Linked DNA regions of Mus musculus. The protein of the gene in region 1 purifies or fractionates together with the protein of each later gene. This does not show direct contact. Links are inferred from orthologs where the notes say so. Each region holds a gene or a part of one and is shown on either strand. Other genes may lie near its edges. The genes, in order: Stx8, Vamp8, Vamp4, Vamp3 and Stx12.

Evidence for each region.
Region 2: the proteins of Stx8 (region 1) and Vamp8 purify together in Homo sapiens (co-immunoprecipitation; 5 studies listed by BioGRID and IntAct, with this or other methods). This does not show direct contact. The link is inferred for Mus musculus from reciprocal best matches to the Homo sapiens genes STX8 and VAMP8.
Region 3: the proteins of Stx8 (region 1) and Vamp4 purify together in Homo sapiens (co-immunoprecipitation; 3 studies listed by BioGRID and IntAct, counting the BioPlex papers as one, with this or other methods). This does not show direct contact. The link is inferred for Mus musculus from reciprocal best matches to the Homo sapiens genes STX8 and VAMP4.
Region 4: the proteins of Stx8 (region 1) and Vamp3 purify together in Homo sapiens (co-immunoprecipitation; 3 studies listed by BioGRID and IntAct, with this or other methods). This does not show direct contact. The link is inferred for Mus musculus from reciprocal best matches to the Homo sapiens genes STX8 and VAMP3.
Region 5: the proteins of Stx8 (region 1) and Stx12 purify together in Homo sapiens (affinity purification with mass spectrometry; 3 studies listed by BioGRID and IntAct, counting the BioPlex papers as one, with this or other methods). This does not show direct contact. The link is inferred for Mus musculus from reciprocal best matches to the Homo sapiens genes STX8 and STX12.

Annotation. Positions count from the first base shown.
Region 1 is NC_000077.6:68,007,943-68,011,458, reverse strand, and holds part of Stx8 (syntaxin-8), read right to left. Parts: intron 145-3,516; coding exon 20-144; intron 1-19. UniProt on the Homo sapiens protein: Vesicle trafficking protein that functions in the early secretory pathway, possibly by mediating retrograde transport from cis-Golgi membranes to the ER.
Region 2 is NC_000072.6:72,384,710-72,387,672, forward strand, and holds the end of Vamp8 (vesicle-associated membrane protein 8), read right to left. Parts: intron 945-2,963; coding exon 801-944; 3' UTR 512-800; downstream 1-511. UniProt on the Homo sapiens protein: SNAREs, soluble N-ethylmaleimide-sensitive factor-attachment protein receptors, are essential proteins for fusion of cellular membranes.
Region 3 is NC_000067.6:162,569,076-162,573,326, reverse strand, and holds the start of Vamp4 (vesicle-associated membrane protein 4), read right to left. Parts: upstream 2,813-4,251; 5' UTR 2,547-2,812; intron 2,500-2,546; exon of another isoform or gene 2,448-2,499; intron 1-2,447. UniProt on the Homo sapiens protein: Involved in the pathway that functions to remove an inhibitor (probably synaptotagmin-4) of calcium-triggered exocytosis during the maturation of secretory granules.
Region 4 is NC_000070.6:151,055,069-151,059,327, forward strand, and holds the start of Vamp3 (vesicle-associated membrane protein 3), read right to left. Parts: upstream 2,808-4,259; coding exon 2,806-2,807; coding exon of another isoform or gene 2,373-2,805; exon of another isoform or gene 1,176-2,372; coding exon 1,094-1,175; exon of another isoform or gene 884-1,093; intron 1-883. Other genes in the region: uncharacterized protein Gm38529, read left to right, coding at 2,373-2,942. UniProt on the Homo sapiens protein: SNARE involved in vesicular transport from the late endosomes to the trans-Golgi network.
Region 5 is NC_000070.6:132,857,009-132,860,471, reverse strand, and holds part of Stx12 (syntaxin-12), read left to right. Parts: intron 1-1,980; coding exon 1,981-2,053; intron 2,054-3,089; coding exon 3,090-3,172; intron 3,173-3,463. UniProt on the Homo sapiens protein: SNARE promoting fusion of transport vesicles with target membranes. Together with SNARE STX6, promotes movement of vesicles from endosomes to the cell membrane, and may therefore function in the endocytic recycling pathway.

The DNA.
Region 1 (3,516 bases):
GTCCTGGAGCAATAGGTACCTTGAATAATTTTCTGCTGCTGTTGTCGGATCTCATCAAAACCCAAACCTCTGGTCTCCTCCGGCTCCTCACAGAGCCAAGGGTTGGGAGTTCCTCGCTTTGCTTCTTCGCTCATCAGGCTGGACCTGAGAACAATAGCAAGCACATTACATATCTCACAAAACACAACCGGCTGAAAATCACTGTGACGAGCACGGAGCTGGCCAGCCTGGCACGCTTTGCAAAGCCATCTCCACAATTTATCGCACTCTTAGTTTATTCTAGGGACCATGCCCAGGGCTGTAAGAGATCTGAGGCTAGGCTGTGGTCCCCAGACAATTACACAGCATTCTACTAACCCTCCAAAGATGGTGGTAAATTAGGTTGTTAAGTCTCAAACCACAAGGCCATCGGGAAGTTGCCTGTTTATCAGAACAAATTTTGTTTCACAGGCTTTGTGACACAGAAGGCACAGAAATAATATTTTTTCATACAAATATATACAAATAAAAATACAAATATTTTCATGCAAATATAATACTAATAATACAGATTACAGCATAGAAAAGTAATAAAATCTCCCATTAAAGGGTGCTTGGTTGCTCACAGAAACACATTCAGAGTTCCAATTCAACTGTGTGACTACAGTCAAAACAATCACACTGAGTGTGACTGTCTACTGTGATCATTACCCCCCTGAAGCAATGCACATTGGCTCTTGTACAACACATCTTGGTCTTCCATCTAAGGACAGAGCGCGTAGTTCCTGCCGCTGCCTCCCTGTCCAAAGGATGTAAGAATCCCGTTGCCCTGACTGCTCCAGTGCAGAGTTGAACGGGATTCACACCATTGCTCTTGCTGAGCCTGAGAGAGGGGTGATGATGATGTAGGAGTGGAGGAACAGTAGCAGTCACCATGGATTAAGCAACTGCTATGTGCAGACGCTCTCTGGGTGATTTAGTGTACACTCACTCATTTCTCCATTGCTTATCATTTTTCAAGCCCTGATGGCATCTCTTGTGTTGTCTGGAAGTAACTGCTACCCTACTGTTTGGCCTTCCATATCGTTAAGCCTTCTGACCACTGGATAGGAAGTGGACATAGAACCCACCTCCCCTCTATTGCACCCTGCTCCCCAGTGTAGAGCAAATAGCCACGAGCATGCCACTTACTGGGAGTATATAGACAGTAGCATCTACCTCTGGAAGTTTTAGCATGGATTAACTAGAGTAATTTATGTATTCATAAAATGATTTTGTCAATACTTATTCAGTAGGCACTGTTTTAATCAAACAAACTATGTACAAGCTGATCAAAATTTTGCCCTGACAATATACAGCTTCTCCTTGTGGGTGTTGTCCTCATGTACTTGTGTGTGTATATGTTTGTGTGTGAAAAGAGATGATAATAATGTATGCAAACTACTGAATACAGTGTTTGGGAAATAATATCTTTTTCAATAGATTAACTGTTTTCATTATACCAATTACTGCATTGTCTACTAGGAGGTATTAAAATTATTTTAAACAATATATTCCAACATTCTATTAATTTCACTTTTAACTAAAAAGAGACTATATCCTTCAAGAAAACCTGGGCTAAATGCAAAGACTGTTTTGATTCTTTGGACTAAGATTTTACGCACAGGTCTGGTCTCATATTCAAATGTGCCAATTAACATGTCAAACACCAGTATGACTTTCTTCCAGTCTATCAAAAAGAGAGATGTGTTCTTCAAGGTTTTACTTGACATGATTGGCCCCAAGAAGCCAAGATGTCGAGGTTTCACACTTACTCCATACATAATCACTTAGCTTCACCTAGCTTTGAAGACAAGGAAGAAAGAAATGAAAAGGGAAGTGAAGCAGGCAATTTGCAATCCAAACATATCCATTAGCACCGGAGTCATCTTGCAAGTGCCAGCATGAAACACACCGTAGCTGTATGTGGCTCACTGCAAAAGCCTGGGTCAGAAACTATAAAAATCGCCCGAGACTCAGGAGTGCATTGGTGGCCAGCTCTGAGCAGTCATTTCAGTGAGTGTATCAAAACTGAGTGGTACTGCTCCAAGGTTAGTATCAAGCCCTTGTCTATCTCTCTCTGTCTCTCTCTCTCTCTCTCTGTCTCTCTCTCTCTCTCTCTCTCTCTCTCTCTCTCTCTCTCACACACACACACACACACACACTAATGTACACACACTATACAGAGAAACCCTGTCTCAAAAAAAAGAAAAAAAACACAAAATGAATGTACACACACTTGTGCACACAGACAAAATTAAGGTATTAATATGAAAGGACAAAAACAATTCAGCAAATGTGAGGTGATTTTAAGCAACCTCAATAAATGGCAAGTTAGGACTCCAGCTGTGTTGACGTGTGCAGTTTGTGTGTGGTATGTGTATACTTTAATCACCTATTAGGGAATAAAAGTAAAAATGTGGGCACAAGCTCATATCAATAGTAAACATGATACAGAGAATAGACTTCCCAGCATGACCTAATTCCCAGAGCTAAGCCACGCCTACTTCCTGCTCCTCTGACTTGGTCTTCCTCGATTACTGATGGCCTGGACCTACCAGCAATGCACCTGTAGCATTCCTATGCGTCTATGCATCTGAATGCACTTCATCAGCTTAGGGTGATACCTACTATTAGTCACTACTGCTCTACTGACACTGGCCTTAGTAGAGTCACATCATATTCTGAAGTAAGGATAAAGAATGGTACATGAATAAGTAAAATAAGCCAAGTGGTAAAAAAAAATTTTTTTTTGAAAAAAAACAAACAAACAAAAAATAGGCATGTCCTCCCTCCCTTTCCCTACAAGAAAATCACCAAGCTGAAGACTTTCCAATGTATCTCTGCCCTTGGCATTTTCCCACAGGTGCCCTGTGATGCCTGTCTCATTTAAGAATCCTCAAGTAGTTCGCAAAGGCAAGGTCAAATTCACTCCTTTGCCCCATAAGCTTTTCTCCTCCCCATCTCGAGTCTGCTTAGTGTGCCATCCAGGGCCTTGTGTTACTACTGTTGTTGCTGCTGCTGCTGCTGCTGCTGCTGCAATTATCCTTCTACCTCACAGCAGTGGCTGAGGTGTTCTTCAGAGATGGCTCACTGTCCTCATGCACAGCCAACATGTTCCCCTGTTAGTACAGCCTAGCTTTAGACCCTCCTCACCTCTCCTACAGACCCATTCTGATGATAGAATGACCTAAAACTGAAGTCTCACTATTATTATCTCCATGGTTCACAACTTCCGTGACTCCCTGGAACTATAGGTTACGTGTGAGCTTTAAAAGATGGTCCATGGTCTCAGCAGCAGCATCTCCCAATGCCCCAGTACCACACCCTTCATCTCCCTGAGTCGTACATCCTGCTCACTACCACAGAGTCAAAGGCACAAACTTTCACACTCTCATGTTTTTGCATGAGTCTGGAGTATCCCCACCCCCACCCCTTTGTCCATCTGGCAAAATTCTATTCATCCCCTAAGGCTCAACTCAAAGGTCACTTCTGCTG
Region 2 (2,963 bases), on another chromosome or scaffold:
ACTCCAGGGGAACCAACATCCTCTTCTGGCCTCTGCAGGCTCTTCATTCACATACTCATACTTATTTTTTTAAATAATTTTCTTTATTTTTTTTAGTGTCTATGAGTACACTGTAGCTGTCTTCAGACACACCACAAGAGGGTATCAGATCCCATTACAGAATGGTTGTGAGCCACCATGTGGTTGCTGGGAATTGAACTCAGGACTTCTGGAAGAGCAGTCAGTGCTCTCAACCTCTGAGCCATCTCTCTAAACCCATACTCATTCTTCTTAAAAAATAAAAGTCCTTTTAAAGACAGACAGACAGACTGACTGACTTATTGATTCTAGCTGGGTCTAGTGATTGGCATATCTAATTCAGGTATGCAAAGCCTCTGAGCTGCCATCTTTCTTCACTAAACCTGTGCTCAATCCTTGCACTATCTTGGTTCTAGATTGGGAGAAACCAGCCTGGAGGGGTTCCTCAGAAAGAAAGAAACAGACACTTGAAAGACACAGGAGTAAAGCGCCTCGTACACTTAGGGATACCAAGAGGTCTTTATTGCCCACCAGCCACCAACAGTTTCCCAGCCACAGACAGGGTCCTCTGGGTCTCTGTAACCCACTCTCAGGACCATGAGATGCAGCTACAGTCCAGCTGTCTCCTCCCAGGGGATCAAGGTGCGTCTGGGGCATCTGATGCAGCAGAAGGCCCTCACAGGGACTGAGCAGCACTTGGGTGGAGGAGGACAGGAGAGGGCTCCTCTTGGCACATATTAGGGAGGTCACCCCTGAGGAGTAGGGTGGGATGGAAGGGACTCTTAAGTGGGGATGGTACCAGTGGCAAAAAGTATAATGAGGATGACGATGATAAGGACAATCACACAGATGATGACAATCATCTTCACATTCTTCCACCAGAACTTCCGGGCCACCTTCTGGGACGTTGTCTTGAAGTGTTCAGACTGTTGGGGATAAGATAAAGTCGTGAGCTCCTGCCCTCAGACTGAGAGTACAGACGGACACCACATGCCATAGTATAGATGTTTACATTACATTATAAATCGAAGTAGGAAACGGAAAAAAAGACGCTGGAGCTGGAGGATAGCCACTTCGAAATAAAAACACAAATAAGTGAACAATTCTTTCCTCTTACAATAGGAATGGAAAGGTTCTTAAAAATACTTTATAACATGTATTTGTGCCTCTGCCTTATGTGCCACACTGCCCACGTGGTGGAGAGGGGTCGACTTGCAGGAAATGGTTCTCTCTTCTCCTCTGTATGTCCTGGGGATTGAACCCACGCAGCCAGGCTCGCTGACAAAAGTCTTTACCCACTGATCTCTCTCTGGTTTTTTTTTTTTTTGTTTGTTTGTTTTGTTTTGTTTTGTTTTACTTTTGAGACAGGGCCTCACTAAGTATGCCTGGATGGCCAGGAGCTTCAGAGATCTGTCTATCTCTGGCTGCTTCACAAATGTCTTTCTACAACAATCTGTAAGCCAAGTTCTAGTTTAGAATTCTTGAACTCATAAAACTTCCCTCTGAGCATAGCAGGGTCCCTTCCTTTTCTGTTTCTATCTTTCTAGTCGGGATCTCATACAGCAAAGCCTGGCCTCCACTCCTTGTAGCAAAGGATGACCTTGAACTTTTGTTTGTTTGTTTGTTTGTTTGTTGTTTGGTTTTTCGAGACAGGGTTTCTCTGTGTAGTCCTGGCTGTCCTGGAACTCACTCTGTAGACCAGGCTGGCCTCGAACTCAGAAATCCACCTGCCTCTGCCTCCCGAGTGCTGGGATTAATCCACCATGCCCGGCGACCTTGAACTTTTAAAAACAATATTTATTTGTTTGTTTGTTTATGTGTGTGGTGTGCACAAGCCACAGTGGAGGTCAGAGGTCATTTTATAGGAATCAAGACTACCAACCATATGAATCCCACAAATGGAACTCAAATCCTTAGGCTTGGTACCAAGTGTCTTTACCTTTTGAGCCATCTCAATGGCCTGGCTTTGAACTTCTGATCCACTTGCCTCTACCTTCAAAGAGTTCAGATTACAGGCGTGTGCCACAATACCATATTTATATAGTGCCAGGGACTGAACCCAGGGCTTCGTGAAGTCTAGTGAAGTACTCTACCACCTGAGTCTTATGTCCAGTCTCCCTTCTTTTTCTTGCCCCTGCACTAACCTGCATACTAAGGGGTCTTTTACAGATATATGCTCACAATTGGAGTTTGTTTGACTGGTAGAGAAATCTGGCCTTTGGAGCACAGACCCACAAGCTAAGGGGTACAGGAATGTGCTCCAGATGGGCACATGTCCTGGCTCAATGATACTTTGCTTTGTCTTCTGAGTTCTGTAGAAGCTGAAGGAAGAACCAAAGCACTGCAGAAACTTAAAAGAAAGAGCTGGGCGTGGTTGCGCACGCCTTTAATCCCAGCATTTGGGAGGCAGAGGCAGGTGGATTTCTGAGTTCGAGGCCAGCCTGGTCTACAAAGTGAGTTCCAGGACAGCCAGGGCTACACAGAGAAACCCTGTCTTGAGAAAGAAAGAAAGAAAGAAAGAAAGAAAGAAAGAAAGAAAGAAAGAAAGAAAGAAAAGAAAGAAAAGAAAGGAAGAAAGGAAGAAAGGAAGAAAGGAAGAAAGGAAGAAAGGAAGAAAGGAAGAAAGGAAGAAAGGAAGAAAGGAAGAAAGGAAGAAAGGAAGAAAGGAAGAAAGGAAGAAAGGAAGAAAGGAAGAAAGGAAGAAAGGAAGAAAGGAAGAAAGGAAAGGAAAGGAAGAAAGGAAGAAAGGAAGAAAGGAAGAAAGGAAGAAAGGAAGAAAGAAAAAAGCCTCCTGCTTCTCCAAGTTAATACAGACACTAAGTCTCCATGTGCCCAGCTTATGCTGCAGGAGGCACTAGATTCCAAGATAACCCAATGGACCCAGGAAGCCAGTGTACTCCACAGCAAGTGAAAACTGAGGCCCCAGCCTTGGTTTGTGTTAGACT
Region 3 (4,251 bases), on another chromosome or scaffold:
AGATATAAACATGTGACTTTCTAGAGGGTGGGCACCTGGAGGATCAGAAGAGCTCTGGGCTCCTCATACTTTTCCATCTAGCCCATCTGATAATTAATCTGCACCCTTTCTATCAGTCTCTAAAAATAAACTGGCAAACTTAAGCAAAGTGACTCCCTGCATTCTGTGAACCAGTCTAGTAAACTAATTGAAACCAACAAAGAGACTGTGGCCATCACAATTTACAGCCAATCAGGTACAGTAACTTGGAAGTACACTCTATGTGTACTTCACTGCCCGCTTTAATGTCACGTACGTATCTTCTGTAGAAGGTTTCTATTCAGTGGCCACCTGAAGAAGGGGACAGTTGTGGCTATTTCCTAGTAGACAGTGGTAGAAACGAACTAAGAGGACTCTCAACTGGTGTCTCCTGGAGAATCTCCCGCAAAATTGCTTGCTTTCTGAGGAAAAACACCCTCCTTGCTGTCTGGGTACACAGACATTTTCTGAGAGAAAATGTGCTTTTTCATACATAAAAACAAAGAAGTTAAACAAAGCAGTGCTCCTTTGCTGTGGAAGCACCCACAGCCTTTTATATGTTAATGTGCACTGTGATTTTTCCAGGGAATACTTGAGTATGCAACATAATCAAATTTTTCTAGGGGAGTGGCTATATGCAAATATACATTTCCAGTATTTTGGAGCAGATGATGACTGACTAAAAAAATCTATAAAAGCCTAAGATGCTTAGTACGTGCTAAACCCATGTATGCATCTTCAGTAACAGAAGCATTCTTAGCATCGAGTTACATAATGCATTTTCTTTTATTCTTGACACTTCTTTCAAGTAAGCATTAAGAAAATTTACTAAGATAACTGTGTTATGTCACACCACTCAAACAGACCAATAAGTGGCTATGCACTATCAGTTTTAATATTTAGTCATTTAGTTGCCATCGTGTTCTAGAACTCTGTTTTAGAAAGGTATCCTTTCTTATAACAACCTATCTTCTATAAAAAACAAACAAACATATTTAAATAATTTAGATATCAGTTTATTGATGGTAAGGCACTAAGAGAAGCCCGAATCAAAGTAATATCATTGAAGTCAGCTTCCTGTTGTTTTTAAACTAACAACTTCACTTATAACATAGCTGCTATCCATCCATGCATGAGTCACAGCCCTGGGGGTCTTTATTCCACATTACTTCCGTTAGAATCATCTGGCCCATTTTATTCCTTACATCTTAATCTCAGAATAAATTTCATGCAGAAATATTACAGAATGCACCGGGAAAAAGTTGATAAGGCAAGAACTGGAGAAAATGAGATTTAAACTGTATCTGGACGATATATTTATATCCTTGACAGCCCAAAAGAAACAACTGGCTGATAACAGATATTGATCTTAGCTAACAGCAAAAGCTGATCTTAGCCAACAGGAGAGAGGGATCAAGCAAATTCACAAAATGTCTTTACACGGTATGACACTAAAACGTAATGAGGAGTAAACCTCTTATTCAAGTTCTAAAATCCAAGCTATCAGTTTGAGGAAGGAAGCAAACTCAGGCTAGACAAATAAACAAACCACCAGCAAATCAGCAGATAGATAAACGAGCTACCCTGGAACTACCCGCAACTAATGATATTTACAGATTAAAAATAAGTAGCGTAAATAAACTGTACTCAGAAATCAGAGTTGACTCCATTCTGCCTACAGTTCCTCCTACCAAAAATATTCTTGTCGTTAACGTGTCTACGTAGTAAGAGTCATCGTGATGTCTTTCCACGTCGTGGATGGAACACCACACGGTTCACTGAAGTGTCAACATCGCACGACTCTTACGTGTACTTCCCCGCTTGCTCAAATCTCTCGTATGCATCTTCTGTAGTACGTTCTCTATTCCGTGGCTTTACATGTAACGCACTTCTAACCTGTTGTTTAATCTACACTGGCTTTTTACCTCGACAAAACAAGCTCTATTTCATTTCGCTAAAAAAGCTCGAATCTGGCTGGGCACGGCTTTCCTTTGCTCAGCCTCCATCCCCCTCGCCAGTTCTTCCTCATTTCTCATCTGCAGTCTCGGCTGGTAACAGTTCCACGCAAATCGTGACTGGAAATCTTACTCGCAAAACCTGTTACGTGTAAGGATTCACCTCCACCCCCGGGTCATTCTAAGCACAGCGGGGATGCGCGCTTTCTCCGAACCCCCGAGGAAGGACCTCAGGCGAGCCTCTCTGGCCAATTCCTCGGCTCCCTTCGCCGCCGCCACCCCAGGCCACGCACCCCGACATCTGCTCGGAACTCTGGCCCCCGACTCCCCGTACAGGTGCCCCCTCGGGAACAGCTCTCCCCCTGGAGGGCAACTCGATCTCAAAGCTCCTCGGCCGCCCCAGCCCCTCCCCAGTCCTCGCGCCCCTTCCTCAGGACACCCCGGGCCCCCGGCCTTCCCCACTCGCGACCCGACCCTCGCGCAGGCCGGTTCCCAGCCCCAGCGGACGTTGGGGGCGGTAGGCAGGGGCGTCGCCTGGCTTCCTGCCTGCTCAGGCGCGCCGGGGCGGGATACCTGCGGTCTCCGATGGGCTCCCGGCAGCAGTCCCTGCTGGCAGCGCAGGGCAGGCGGGGGAGGGAGCGGGAAGCGGAGGAAGAAGGGTGGGAGGGGGAAGGCCGAAGGCGCAGAGCCGCCACCGCTCCGCTCTGCTGCAGCGCCCCCGCTCATCGAGCGACTCGGCGCTCCGCCGCCTGGCGCTGGGCAGAGGGGGCGGGCTCAGGCGAGGGAGATCGAGCCGCTCGGTACTCCGAGTCCTGGAGAGGGCGCAAGGGGGCAGGCTCAGGCAACGGAGATCGAGCGTCTCGGCGCTCCGGGTCTTGTCTTCTGGCGGAGGGGACATGTTCAGGCAATGGAGACCCTGAGCGGGTCGATCGCTTCCGTCTTTCTTGAACCCGGGAGAATCCCCCGGGGTTGTGACGTTCAGATCCGATGGAGGAGCACGTGGGTTGTACATGGGATGAGTAGGGAACGCTGAGAAGTCTTTCAACTGGAGCTGAAAGGGTGACTAGGATGTAGGTCCCGTAGAAGATGCTACTTTGCGGGCTGTCTGAGGGACCTGAGTAAAAGGGGCCGCATGTGATAAAATATCTGTCTGATACCATTTACAAAATTGCTGAGGGTTACTCAGTTTCATTCCTTTTGCTTGTAGCCTAAATGGCAGGATCCAAACATAGGGATTCAGGCGGGAAACCACCCTTACATTGCCATTCTGCCAATAATTCATCTCCTTTACAGTCTCTGCTTGACATATTTATTTAAAGAAGTCTGGCGTTGATAGACTTAGTCCAAAACTGTAGAAATGTGTATTTCTTTTCTTTTTTTTTTTAATTTATCCTCCTCCAAGTCTTTTAAGCTTAATGGTTATTAGTCCTTTGTTAAGAGTTTTTAAACTGTGGGGAAATATATTGCCAGTTATTTGATAGACACAAAAATAAGAAAAGATGCTCAGGGACAAGAAAACAAACCGGAGGAGGAAAATTCCAGGAGAAAGCCCTCTTTCACCCGATCTTTAGTTAGGGTTGCTGTTGGGCTCACTGGTTGAGAGTTTTCTCCTCACAACTTGGCTGACTTGGACTGAAATGGCCTGCCCAGATAGAAGGTATCTTAGTCTGTGTCTCTGGCAGGGCATGGTAGTGAGATTATCACGGAGTCACTAGACAGCCCAGAGGTGGTCTTTTGTTTGTTTGTTTCTATTTATTTAATGTTTTTAAAAGATTTATTATGTGTATGGGTGTTTTTGGCTGCATGCATATATGTGCATACACTACTATGTGTATGCCTGATGCTCTTAAAGATCAGATGAGGACTTCAAATCCCCTGGGACTGGAGTTACAGGCTGTTGCAAGCTGCCATGTGGGTGCTAGGAATTGAACCTGGGTCGTTAACAAGAAGGATAAGTGCCTTTTCTCACTGAGCCGTCTCTCCAGCCCCTTCAGTTGATGATTTTATCCGTATATTTGCTTACTATGCCGAACTTCCTTGCCTTGTTTCCTTAGCTAGTTAATGTCCTTGTCTGTTAACAGCATAAGGAAATACGATAGTAGAGCTACAATGGACATGTCATTCATACATGCCTTATTATTCTTATGAGTAATCTGTTATTTTTCTTTGTATTTAGTCATAATGCCTTAATTTGGCTACTTATTTTGATTGCTTTTGGGCCAGGAACATATGCCCCCACTCTTCTTTAGTAATGTGGGAGAGACCCTTTGACTATCAC
Region 4 (4,259 bases), on another chromosome or scaffold:
GAGTGTGTGTGTGTGTGTGTGTGTGTGTGTATGAGTGGGGAGATGGTTCAACCTGGGTTTAGTTCCCAGCACCAATAAAGCAGCTGAAAACCTTCTATAACTCTAGTTCCAAGGGTTTTGATGTCTTCTGGACTCTGCAGAAACTGCATACACACACAGCACACACACATAGTACATACACACACACACACATATACACACAGTACACGTACATGTAGGCAAAACCCTCATACTTGTAAATCTTAATAAAAAAATATGGAAGTAGTGGTCTGAGCTTCTCGCAGGATCTGCACTGTGGTTCTACATGAGCACACCAAAACAAAAGATGCCTTAAGACTCCACTAGCTCAAGAATTCTAGGGAGAGCTGGGGCTACAGCAGTTCCACCTGCTATGGGTCCTTCAACAAATATCAGAGAAAGCAAAGACCTGCCTCTATTAGGGAACTAGTAAACCTGGCTATAAGACACACAACAATTTGGAAACAAAACAAAACCCAAATCAGAAAGACTTGTTCCTGGCTTGAATAATCCAATTACCCTATCTTACAAGTGGCTCTGGGGACAAGCTTTCAGATATGTTTTAGGTTTGTAATTGGTAGTAGAAAAATTAGTATGAAACCAGGAAGAGTCTCCTTTGTGCTTAGAAGATGGCTTCTAGAACATTCAGGCAAAGCATCATATACATAAAATAAAAATAAACCTAAACAAAAAGAATATGGAAATACTTGTCTGAGTTTCTCGCAGAATCTGTACTATTGCCCTTTAAATACACGTTTAAAAAGATGACTTCTGATATAGTCAAAATTTATGCCCACACACTGCTGATGCCTTTTTTCTCTAATGTTTTAAAAAAATAATTACATGCTTGTGTCTGTGTGTACAGGTGCATGCATGTGCCCTTGGAGGCAGTTACAAGCAGTTTCGTGATACAAATGAGAGTGCTTGGAACCCAGGTGGATCCTCTGCTAGAACAAGTAAGTGTTCTTTTAACTCCCGAGACATCTTTCTAGCTCCAACGACTCTTTTTCTAAATAAAATTCTAGAGAATTCCCATGTTTGTTTAAAAGTCACATTTAAAATTTTAGAGTGGTACCTCATCTACTTGATTTTGTGTCTGCTGGAGTCTTCGATTACTGCCAGTGGCAGCACTTGACCCCGAAGGCACACCTGTAGACCTGAAAGGTATAAAGTCACAAGTATGAGTACACTGTAATTCCCAGTGCACTTGATAAGCTAATATATAATCCCAATGCTCCAACCATGACATGGGAGGTGGACACATGAGAGTCTTGGAAGCCTGAGGGCCAGCTCACCTGATACATGCAGCACTGAACAAGAGATAGTGTCTCCAATAAGGTGGAAAGCCAGGACTGACATGTGAGGTTGTTCTCTGCTCTCAAGTGTCCTTTGCTCTCAAGTATACCATGGCCTGTTTGTGTGTATAAACTGTTATGGTGGGACGCAGTCTTAACTCCTTACACTGCAGTTATTTCTTAAAAGTCCCAAGGTAAAAAATAAAGGCACTAATATGTTTTTATAACCCCTCAATAATTCTTAAGACTGTATCACTTGATAGTGATAAAAGTCTGAAACAAATATTTAACAAGATCTGTTCTATGTCAATAAAGTGTGGGTTTTTTTTTTTTTTAAACTTGCTTTAAGACACACAGATGTTTAAAGTAGACTCCTGATCTTTTTGTTGTGGCTGATAATTAGGAACAATCACAGAACAGACAATATGAAGAAATAGGTTCAAAGTGCATGGAGGGGGTCTGTATGAACGGGAAGGAGGCTGAAGCAACTGTCTCTGTTGGAAAGTCATTCATCTCTCATAGGTTCAGTGAGTCTGGATTTTCACTCATCCCCACTTTTCACAAGTACTCTGGTTTTTAAGTCCTTATTGCCTCCATTAAACTCTTGTATCTAAAACAGCTTCCAATTTTTGCCTTCCTACACAACTGTCACTCTAGGGTTGACTCACAGCACTTTTTAAAGTTTGCACTGTGTCTACCACCAAGGACACATCACTGATGGCTGTCTCACATAACTCAGGGTCCGAAAATTAAACAGGTAAGGACCGTGCTCTGGAAGCACTATCCATGTTATTTATTTTTTCTCTCTTTAAAGTCTAATATCACTAAAGAGGATACTACGATCCTTCCCATCTTATTAAAACTTAGGCTGAACATGCGGCTGGCTGAACTGAACCAATTTAATCCTCTTGAGTGTGGACCGGACACTGCCATTTGCTCAGCAGTCTGACCAGGTACATCTTAAGTGGTGACAACAATTCTGGCTGAAGGTTGCAATTAGAAACCAATTTTAAAACCAGAGTGTGCTGGCTTAAAACGGAAGAGAAACCCATTGCCCAGATGCGTCGGGAGCGCCAAACGCTGGCCTACGACGGGCTCCCGGCCACCTCAGGTCTCCCGCTCCTGCCGGGCGCACCCCGCGCACAGAGTGAGCGTTCACGCTCGCTCCCGCCCCTCGCGAGGAAGGAGCCGCGGGGTGTGGCGGCCGCTTCCTCGGTCAGGCGGTGTCCCCACCCCCGTCCTTCCGCGTCTGCCCGCCGTCCGCGGGGCACTCGGGGACGTCGCGGCGCCACGACTCGTCCCGCAGCGTCCGGGGACAGGGTGCACCGCGGGGCCGCTGCCCACCTCAGGCCCCGGGACTCCGCGCGTAGGCCTGCGAGGCCTCCACTCGAGTCCGAGTGTCAAGCAGCGGCCACCGCGCCTGAAGCGGGTCGCAGGAGTGGGCCACCATCCCCGGAGCCCGCCTCGCCTCTCAGCGCAGCGCGTCACTCACATTTTGGCGGCGGTGGCGGCGGCGAATGGCCGAGGGTCGACGGACTCGCGCTGCAGGCAACCGAGGCTGAGGAGATGGGCGGGGCCGTGGTGACGTCACGAGCGGTGGCCGGACCGGAACCCGCGACGCGCTCTTAGTCGCCAGGGGCGCGCCGGAAATGGGCGGGATAGGAATCGAGCCGGGCGCAGCGCGGGCTGTCACCTCGGAGCAGAGCGGAGTGGGAGGGGCCAGAGCTTGCGCTGAAGTAGCGCCGGCGCTGACGAGTGGGCGGGCGTTCTCGGTGGACAAGTGGGCGGGGCTAGAGCGCGGCGCCTGCGCCTTTGGGCTGGGCTCTTCGCCGCCAAGGAATCACAGCAGCTCCCTGCAGTGTCTCTGCTGCCCTGTCTCTAGCCCTGGAAAGGCAGTTTAGAGTGAGAATGGGTACGTTTTACATTACTGTGAGCCCGCATACCTTGTCTCTCATGTTAGAAACAGCGGACGTGCCTAACGTTCCAGAATAATCTAGTGGTCCTGAGGAGACAAAGTTCTTTTCTGAGAAAGAGGCAGTAGGAAGTCCATGTGGAGTCTTGGCCACAGGATTTGGGAGAAGTCTCCTCTCAGGTTCTCACATGACAAATATTTGCCATTGCACGGATATTAAATCCCTAAAGGGAGCCTTGGCTTAGAGAACTGTAAGGTTCTTCATTTCTGTAATTCCCTGGCCCTTGCGGAGACGACACTCAATTTTTGTTCAACGGGGGTGAGTAGTTATGTGGAAAAGAATCCCAACAAGGTCTAAAACAGACTAAATAAACTCCGTTGGTGGATTCACTCAATGAAATACACTAAGGTATTTTTCCACTTCAGCATGGTAACTCCCAAAGGTGTGTGTTGCAATTAAAGAGCGCCACACCAGTGGGTACTAGGTTGAGTAGTAGTTATAAAAACCATTCTGGATAGGAGGAAATGGAGAGTGTGGGGCCGGGCTTAAACAGTGAACAGAAAATGCAGTGGGCTCCTGGTGGGAGGTTCAGAGTGTGAAACTGGCACTAGTTCTGAGGTAGATCAGAAGTGAAGTCCTACCAGAGAGATAACAGAACTCTACAGCCAAGAGGACTGGAACAGTGACGAAGAATACCTAGCAGGGAGGCCTTGTGAGGTAAGCTGGAAAGGGTCTTAAAAAAAAAAAAAACACACACAAAAACCACACACACACAACCCAGCCAACTACCTAGTAGAGCTAAAGAGTGTACTTAGTTGGCAGAGTGCTTGTCTAATATGCAGCCCTGGGTTTGATCCCCAGAACCACGTAGACCCAGGCTGTTAGCACACCCATAATCGCAACGAAAGCTTTTAGGTAAAAGGTTAAGAGGTTCAATGTCACCCTTAAGCTTAAGCGTTGGGAATTCATGGGTACTCTGAGCTACATGAGAAAGGTTAATTTAAAATTGAGATCCTTATCTTCCAAGTAACTG
Region 5 (3,463 bases), on another chromosome or scaffold:
GATTTATATGAAAAGGGCTGTGTTAAGTCTTTGTGTGTTTGTGTTTTTTTTTAATTTATTTATTATATCGTAAGTCCACTGTAGCTGACTTCAGACACACCAGAAGAGGGCATCAAATCTCATTAAGAATGGTTGTGAGCCACCATGTGGTTGCTGGAATTTGAACTCAGGACCTCCGGAAGCGCAGTCAGTGCTCTTAACCGCTGAGCCATCTCTCCAGCCCCTTTGTGTGTTTTATATTATCTATAAATTTAGTTGTGGCAAAATTGAACTTCTGCTATGTTCTGTTGGCCTGGCCGCTCAAAAGCTCCCAGATTCTTGCTCAAACCCCATTTACTGTATGGTCTCTGGGAGAGACTCATGCATGGAAAACAGCAAAGCAAGCGATACTCTGTTGATTCCTAGAACTCTCATCTCAGTAGCTATCTCCAGGGTAAGCAGGGTTCTGTGTGGAGAGCTCTTTTTCATAGTCTGCATAGCCCAGCCGAAAGGCAGGCTCCGGCTCTGCTTTTGTACATTCTAAAGTCCAGTTCCAAGTATAGCCCTTGCCCCGTCATTGGGTCAGACTTGGAAACACTTTTGATGTGGGGTTGAGGGAAAGTTCTGTAAGCTGTCCTTGGCTCCTTGAGCTCCATCATAACCAAGGCAACTGAGTTTAAAAAAAAAAAAAAAGCATTTAAAAAATGTTATCAAAAGTATGATCATATGGTGTGGTGGTTTGGATGAGTATTACTGCAGTTGTAGATTATTTCAGAAGGACTAGGAGGTGTGGTTTAAAGTTTTAAATGTTTAAAATTTAGTTTATTTTGTATTATGTTTATGAGTGCTCTTGGGGATCAGAAAAGGGGTCAGATCCCTTGGAACTAGAGTTCTGGGTGGTTGTGAGCTCTGCCATGTGTGTGCTGGGAACTGAACCTGGGTCCTCTGCAAGATCAACAACTGATTAACTGCTGAGCTATCTCTCCTCCAGCATTTAAGTAGGGACTTGCTTACAGTTTAGGCAGGCAGGCAGGCGGGCTTTGGGAGCTAACATCTGATCCACAAGTGAGAGAGACAGAGAGAGAGAGAACACAGAGAGAACAGAGAGAAAGAAAAACATGAATTGGGCCTGGCTTAGGCTTTTGGAGCTTGAAAGCCCACCCCCTGTGATACATCTCCTCTAACAAGGCCACCCTTTCCAATCCTTCCTAACCCTTCCTGGATGGCCCTCCACCTGGGGCAATACTTATTCACACCATACCATACGCACATACCTTTAACAGGCACCAGTCCATTGCTCTTCCACCTGACTTGTGTTTGCCATGGCTTATTACCTATGAAAGTATAAACCTGAACATAGAGAATCTTACCTCCATCACTGCTGGAGATACTGTGCAGCTGAGCCCACCAAGCTGGGAAGTTATTGAACATTTTCAGTCAGATCAGCTTCCAAGTGATGTCCTTTCACCCTGCCAACTGTTCTCCAACAGTTTGTCAGTTGGAAGTTGTTTATAGGGCATCATTCAAGTGACACAGAATCCGGTAGTTCCTCACATAGTTCCTCACATAGTCTGCCCTGTGGAAACCATCTCCTTGGCTGCTTGTCTTCTATGTGTTCTCCAGGCAACACAGTCCTATAGAAGCCATTTAAATTCTCTAGTCAGAAGGCCTAGTAGTGGCTGACGTTGGTCTGCTCTCCCTAGAGCCGTCACACTGAGCATGTGTCCACCACAGCACTCCAGCGTCTGGTGGATACAGTTGAGGCTTGAATGATCTTACTAGTTCCCAGGTAACATGGGCAGTGAATATTGCTCAGTGAGTGGGGTTCGTGTCTGTTGTTCTACAGTATTAGGTAAGCAGCAATAGATAGTTTTCTATTCATGGAGAAACCTTTAAAATGCATGTGATTATTAATCTTTAGGGAAAGAAAAGAAAAATCTTCTAGCATATTGCTTAGTGTGAGCTAATTGTTTTTGTTTTTGTTTTTTTAATCTCCCTTAGGCTGACATTTTGGATGTCAATCAGATATTTAAAGATTTAGCTATGATGATCCATGACCAAGGTGATCTGATCGGTATGTACTATTAATACATCTAACCTTAGGGTGAGTACAAAGAACTCAGTAAGATGGGTCACTGGGAACTTAACTTAGGAATATCTTTTTTTAAAATTACTGAATTCATTTAAGTGTAAAGGCTGAAGAGGGTGAACCCTGTTCATTTGTTACAGCCTGCAAGTCTGTTAGAGAAAGGCCTGTCACACCCCAGCTTTGAGCTCTAGACGCTCAGGGATTGCGGGGTTAGTAACTTTTAAAAGCTTTTTAATGAGGAAATGATCTCAAATTTATAAAAAGCTGCAAAATAAAAACAATAGAAGAAATCTTTTATATATCCCTACCCAGGATTTTCCTGGTTAATAACATTGTGCCCCCTTTATTTTGTGATGTACACCTCTCTGTGTGTGTAGATACATAAATATGCCGTCTGCACCCCCCCCCAGTCTTTTCTCTTAAACTCTATATAGGTTACATAATTAGTAACCTGCTACTATTAAATATGTCAGTGTTTATTTTTGAAGAATGGTACTGTTCTCTTATCAAGTTAGAAACGTGTAGCTGGGAATGGTAGTGATGCCTGTAGCCTCTGCACTCAGTGGCTGCATGACGGTCGGGAGTTTAGGCAGCGTCAGGTACAGGGCATGTTGTTGAGGATGCTGAGGCCATCTCAGACTCCGTGAGACCCTATCTCAGAAGACTAAATGAAAAGAAGCACATTTCTGATCTCGTGGCTGGCTGGTTTGGATGGTAATGGTGAATCTAAGGCCTGTGCCATCAGACATGTTCAGAGGGGCTGGATAGATGGCACAGCAGCTGAGAACAGTGTCTGCCCTTCCAAAAGACTATGGTCTGATTCCCAGCACCTACTCACCAGCTCATAGCCATCGGTAGCTCTAGTTCTGAGGGATCCAACACCCTCCAGGAATGTACATGGTATACAGATTGCAGATAAAACATCTATATACTTTTTTTAAAAAAGAAAAAATTTGCTTGTTTGGTTTTTTCAGTATTGAAATACCTGAATGTGCTAAAATGTGCATCGTATGTTTTACAGATAGCATAGAAGCCAATGTGGAAAGCTCGGAGGTGCATGTGGAAAGAGCCACTGATCAGCTACAAAGAGCTGCTTACTATCAGGTAAAAGCCAGAGTCAAAGAAAGTCACTCTATGCTGTAGACTCTGTGAACTTCCAGGCTGTGTTAACACATTGCTGGCAGCTGCAGTCTTTTGCTTGAGTTTAAGCTGGATGCAGGCAGTCATAGTTTGCAGCTCTAGTCCCATTTTTAGTATTTATTTTTGTAGCCAGATCTCCAATACCATCAAATCCTGAATAACTTACATAGAAGCTGTGTGGCTATAAAGCTAATGCCACGAGCTAGCTTGATGCCTAAAGTCTAGCATGATGCTAACCTTATATCCTAAATGGGG